Cricetulus griseus: one gene and its partner. The protein of the gene in region 1 purifies or fractionates together with the protein of each later gene. This does not show direct contact. Links are inferred from orthologs where the notes say so. Each region holds a gene or a part of one and is shown on either strand. Other genes may lie near its edges.

Region 1 (2,731 bases):
CAGTCCACAATTTGACAAATTCATTGAAATAAGCAGTAAATGGAAATTCCCTCCCATATTAGTCAATGCTGATAATAGAAATGCATTCAACAAAAGGTTGTTAGCTTGCTTTATTCTCAAGAAATTCCCAGTGGGAAGAGAATGGAGAGAAGGCAGCTATACCTTCCCAGAGCTCAGGATGCCCTGCCTCCATCCATCCCTTCCAGCAGGACCTCCACAACCTCAGCTGGAGATGGGACAAAGTAGTGGTTTGAAAAGGCTTTGTTGACAGTTTCTATGAGGTTGCTCAGTGATAGCTGGTGCCACTGCCATCCTCAGGGTACCCTAACTTGAGATCAGGAGCTCAGAAAGCCTGAGGGACTAGCCCTACAGCTCACAGCAGAGCCTACCTGTACCAGAGCAGAACCAGCAAAAGGGGGTGGGAGAAGATGAAGGCCAATTTCCCCTAGATCCTTTCATTGGTTTTCAGGTGAGGAAGATGACTCGGGAGTGAGGACTCGGGAGCTCTCAGGCACTGAGGGCATCGATGCCAGCAGGGCTGAGTACCAGTGCTTGAAGTATGTCAGAGAGGGAGACCACGCCCAGAAGATGCTGGGTCTCATCCACCAACACCAGCCTGTGCACCTGTGGGTCCACAGTGTTCAGGGAGGGGCAGTACCTTTGGCTATAGCAGCTAATAAGGGGAAAGCTTAACACAGATCAAGAAGCAAAGGACATCTCCTGGGAACAGCTGGTGATGGCTTTGAGCACTCAGCTGGCTGTGGATCTTGGCACAGGGGCCCTATGCACAGGACCAGACACCTCCCAATGCAGATGCCAAAAGTTGGTCATGAAAGGGAAGACAGGTCAAGTGCCCAGTATACAAGCTATGCAAAGAACTAGGCCATCTATGTTGAGGGCATGCCGGGAGGGGTGCAAGGTACCTGTTCCCGAGCAATCCTGTCAATGACTTCACCCAAGCTCTCATGGGGCTGGCAGGAGAGAACCCCCTCCAGACACAGTGTCCTCTGCCTCAAAGCTTCTCCCACACTCATGTCTAGGTGGTTGTAGGTTTGCTGGGCAGCCAGGTGCTGGGGCAAGGGGAAGGGAGTCATGGATTACCTCATTACCTAGGCTGTAGCCTGGAGATTGCACTCTGACACGCTTGCAAAAGGTAGCAACAGATTGATCCTCATACTGTAGCCTCCCTGTAGCACCCCCAGTCCCTACAAACACTTACAATGACATCAAAGCGGGAGTAGAGGCCCACGACCTGACCTGCAGCAGAGAATGGAAAAAAAAAAAAAGACAGAAAAGAGCACAGCTCAGAACCAGGGTGTTCTTCAGGGTACATGGGGACAGCTTTTGAAACTAGTTCCTGGATAGTCCCCCCAGGCTGCTTGGCTTAGTCATAGGGCATCTTGCTGCCCCTACCTAGGCTTAGCATCATCATTGAGATGCCTGACGTCAGGCTCCTGTGAGCTGCAGGGAGAACATGGCATCACCTGTGAAATATGCCAGCCTCATAGTGTACAGATATATGTCATTTAGGTTCAATTCCTGGCTCACAGGAAACAGGAACAGGGGACCGAGGCACGGCCACCTCCAGGAGGCAAATGGACAAATCTGGACATGGGATTTTTTTTCTTAACTTTTTAAACTATATTTGTTAGCGTGTGTGTATATGTGTGTGTGTGTGTGCGTGTGTGTGTGTGCGCGCGTGTGTGTGGTGTGTGTGTGTGTGTTGTGTGTGTGGCGCGCGCGCGCGTGTGTGTGTGTGTGTGTGTGTGTGTGTGTGTGTGTGTGCGCACGTGTGCATGCACACTGTAGTGCCACAGCACATACATGTATGGAGATCAGAGGACAATTTTCAGGTGTCAATTCTCTCCTACGATGTGGGTCCCCGGGATTGAACTCAGGTCACCAGGCTTATCTGTAAGCGTCTTTGTCTGCCAAGCTATCTCTATGTCCTTGAAGGTAAGATATAGGAAAATTAATTCAGACTTTTCTAGTGACCTGTGCCATAAAAATGAAAGGAAAGGGTACAGGCTTAGGTTTAAACAGACTTCAAGGACAAATGAAGAAATGAGAAACATGAACTTCATTTGGATTTGGGTTTTTTTTTTTTTTTTTTGAAGTCATTCTTGGGAGAAGTGGGAAAATGAGAATAAGGATTGGAAATTAGGTCACAATAAATCAGTCATAGTTTTAAAAATAACTGTTCTCTTTTTAAAACGATACTTTAAGGGCCAGTGAGATTCCTGACAACTTGAATTTGATCCCTGGGACTCACTCAGTGGGAGGAGAGAACGGACTCCTGAAAGCTGTCCCTGACCCCCTCATACGTGCTGTGGCACATAGGCGCCCACATGCATGTGCAAGCACACACCTAAATGATGAAGTAAACGTAATAAAACCCTCTAATTCTGTTTATTATTATTGCGTGTGTGTGAGCCACAGCACGAATGTGGAGGTCAGAGGAGGGCCGTTTTCAGGAGTTGGTTCTCTGCTTCCACCTTGGTGTGTGTTCTGGGGAGTGAACTCGGGTCATCAGGCTTGATTGGCAAGTGCTTTTGCCAGCTGAGCCATCTCAGCTGTCCAGTTATTCACAGTTGTGTTGCATAAAATATGCTTATTGCAAGAGATTTAGACTGAAGTGCTAGGGCCAATATGATCCAATGTCTGCAATTGACTTTCTTCAGAAAAAAAAAAAAAAACAACGATGAGCTGATCATGGCAATATGCTGCTTTT
Region 2 (3,659 bases), about 380 Mb from region 1:
TTGGCTTTTTTCACAGCTAAAGATTTGGGCTTAGTTGTGTTCAGTGCATCCAATGGACACCGTGCTTTGGGGCTGTCTGCTATAAGAGGTGGCATCCTTTCAGGATGTGGTTTCAGGCCTGGGGGGATATGCATGGCACTATCATCCATAAAAGAACCAGTTGGAGGACTAGAGGCGAGGTAGAACTCACTGGCTTGGTTCATTATTCTCCGATTGTCAATGATAAGATGATACGCCACTGCAAGCTGGTCTTGAGGATCACCGCTATATAAACTGTTCATTACTTCTGATTCTGTACACTCAAATTTTTCACATACTTCTTTCACAGCCTCATCATCAATGACGTTAGCATCATAGGAGGGGTCTTCAGGAAATAGATAACTGGGCAAATCCTGTTTAAACCATTCATGTTCTCTAGGAAAAACACCATACACACTATTATAAGAACATGCTTTAGTCAGTCCCAAATAATTTAGACATGGGGCAATACAACATAAAGACTCTAAAATACTGCTCTCTAATTCCAGTTCTGCTGCTATTGGCTATGTGACCCTGGGGCCAGTTAACTAATTTCTATCCTTAAAAAAAATATATTCAGACTTGAGAGATTTCCTTGAAAATGAACTAAGTGGGTCTATAACTTCAAGGAAAACAACTAACAATATTTGTGGTCAATGGTAGAATCTAAGTTCCCAAGAAAAATTTCAGATGGTGGATAGTAATTGGTACCTGTTCCCTGGGGTTTGATGGTTTCTCAAGACCTGAAGATGTTCTGGTGAAGCTAGTATTGATAATAATGAATATGATTTTTGATAGCATAAAATGAAATTTGGGAAATTTGTATATTTCAATAATGCAAGATTTCCCAATGGTGTGACAGAATTACACATGCATAAGAGAGTCCCTTAAAATTTAAAATATATTATTATAGTGTGGCAAAATACAAAAGTTAATTAATTTTTTCTCATTTGATATTGCAAACTATAAGCTAGTACGTAAAGCTTTGTTTTAGTATCAAAGAATATCACTATTATCTGAGTGGCTATTAAAAAATCCTTTATTTTTCAGCCACTTACCAGAGTTCAGATTTTCCTCAGGAACTTCAACTAATGTAAAATATTGTAAGATTAGCTGTGTGGTGGTGGTGTATGCCTTTAATCCCAGCACTTGGGAGGCATAGGCAGGTGGATCTCTGTGAGTTTGAGGCCAGTCTGGTCTACAAAGTGAGTTCCAGGCCTGCCAGGGCTGTTACTCAGAGAAACCCTATCTTAAAAAACAAACAAACAAATAAATAAAGGTTCAAGATTAAATGAAGAAGTACACTGAGATTCTAGCCTGTGTTTGATTAAACTAGACACTGAGGACATTCATAAAAGTGTAAGATGATGCTTTTTACAATGTTTTGGGAACACTTTCATAATAGAGATTACTATAAGGCTTGGTGGTGTACACTTATTATCCTAGTAATTCAGAAGGCTGATTCAGGAGAATCTCAAGTTCAAGGCTTGATTCCGCTACAAAAAAAATTACAAACCATCCTGTCTAATTTAGTGAGACCTTATATCAAATAAAATGTAAAAGGAGATAGGGGAGGGGACCAGAGATGTAAGTCAGTGGTAGAGTATTTGCCTAGGAAGTTCAAGTCTCTTAGGTCAAATTCTTAGGTTATTTGTTTGATTAAAACATTTAAATGAACATATTTTTAAGTAAATTCAATTCTAAATTTAATTATTATATGCTAACTATTGGTATATCATTCACTAAAAATAATTTAGGTCCTCAACAACAAGAGTATAAAAAGATACTAAAACTAAACTTTTTGCAGACTGCTCTCCTAATCTCATTTCCTCTAACTTTCTGGACCTTTGTGTCTGATGTTCTGACTACTATCAAATAGTCCTCAGAGATTATATACCAGGTGGATATAAACAGGTTTTAAAATATAAATGACTACAAATACACAAATATTCTGATAAAACCTGGGAGTAGAAAACAATAAACAAGAGCCTATGGTTCAGAATGGGAGGCCGAGGAGGGAAGCCACTCAAGTTAACATTTAAGCACACACCAGAACACTCAGAAGTCAGCTAAACAATATGTAGAAAAAGATGCTGCAGCAAAAGAAACAATATCTGTTAAGTCTTGAGACAACAAAGGGTTTTGTCATGTTACAAGAACTGCTGTGGTCCAATATCACCCTGGGACACAGGATGGAGTGGTAAAAGAAATCAGGTATTGTGGAGAGTTGTAGCAAAAATGTTCAAAATAACTTTTTATAACTACAGAAGTTTCCCAAAAGTCTGTAATAATCTGGGGAATTTTGTTTAAATGCTGACTGACCTTCAGTAGAAAAGTGAGGCTTGGGTTTTTAAGCTGGCATTTTTAAGCAGCTCTATTTTATCAGCTTCCCAGAAGCCTTAAAATTTATGAGCCTCACAATCACACGACTGAGAAAAATCACTGCAGTAACAAGGATGGAGAAACAGAGTACTGGAGCTCCCTACAAGTTCCAACCCACGAAAACAACCACTCTTTGACATCTAGTGTGCTGGTTGTTTTTCGTCACAAATTTAGACATATCTGAGAAGAGCGAATGCCATTTGAGAAAATGTATACATAAGACTGGTCTACAGGCAAGTCTGTGGGCATTTTCTGGACTAATGACTGATGTGGGAGGGCCCAGCCCATTGTGAGTGGTACCACACTGGGCAGGTGGTCCTAAATTGTATAAGAAATCAGGCTGAGTTGGGCGGTGGTGGCACACACCCTTAATCCCAGTACTCCAGTACTCTGTGAGTTCAAGACCAGCCTGGTCTACAAGAGCTAGTTCCAGGACAGCCTCCAAAGCCACAGAGAAACCCTGTCTTGAAAAACCAAAAAAAAAAAAAAGAAGAAGAAGGAGGAGGAGGAGGAGGAGGAGACTAAAAAAAACTAAAAAAAAAAATTAAATTATTATAAAGAAAGAAAAACAAAAACAAAAAGAAAGCAGGCTGAGTAAGTCATGAGAGGCAAGCCAGTAAGGAGCACTCCTCGAAGCCTCCTGCCTTACTTGAGTTCCTTCTCTGATTTCCCTCAGTAATGGACAGTCACCTGGAAGTATAGAATGAAATTAGTCCTTTCCTCCCCAAGTTGATTTTGGACACAATAGTGCTGCAATAGAAAGCCTAAGACATCGAGCAATTCCCTGCATATTTCCACGCACAACTTTATCTCTGATGTGACTTACAGCTCACTTACTGAAAGCCACCAGACTATTTGTTTAAAAAACAAACAAACAAAACCAGTGGCCACTGTTTAATATTCCAGGTGTGTGAAGCAGTAACGAGAGCTGTGTAACAAGAACCTCACCTATAAAGTTAGGTAAGAAAATAAAGAGTGCAAAAGGTCTGAGAAGTTTTCCCTTATTCCTGAGACTCACAAAGGCCAGATATGTGCCCAGGAAAAAACTGAAAAGACCCTAATTTGTCATCACTGGGTGGCTTTGAGGCTCTGCACAAGAAGGAAATGAAAGCAAAGGCAGGGTTATCAACTGCCTATTAGAGAAGTGGAGATAACAAACACAGAACCACATTCAAAGGCTGGAGGACTTATTAAGTCATGGCATCTTTTAAAAAATCTGTTTCTCCTTAGAAACAGCTGGCCTGAACAAGGGGGAGCAT

The links.
Region 2: the proteins of Prkag3 (region 1) and Prkaa2 purify together in Homo sapiens (affinity purification with mass spectrometry; 3 studies listed by BioGRID and IntAct, counting the BioPlex papers as one, with this or other methods). This does not show direct contact. The link is inferred for Cricetulus griseus from reciprocal best matches to the Homo sapiens genes PRKAG3 and PRKAA2.

What each region holds. Positions count from the first base shown.
Region 1 is NC_048595.1:427,972,874-427,975,604, forward strand, and holds the end of Prkag3 (5'-AMP-activated protein kinase subunit gamma-3), read right to left. Parts: intron 1,258-2,731; coding exon 1,220-1,257; intron 1,071-1,219; coding exon 924-1,070; intron 625-923; coding exon 508-624; downstream 1-507. UniProt on the Homo sapiens protein: AMP/ATP-binding subunit of AMP-activated protein kinase (AMPK), an energy sensor protein kinase that plays a key role in regulating cellular energy metabolism.
Region 2 is NC_048595.1:44,806,017-44,809,675, reverse strand, and holds part of Prkaa2 (5'-AMP-activated protein kinase catalytic subunit alpha-2), read right to left. Parts: intron 415-3,659; coding exon 1-414. UniProt on the Homo sapiens protein: Catalytic subunit of AMP-activated protein kinase (AMPK), an energy sensor protein kinase that plays a key role in regulating cellular energy metabolism.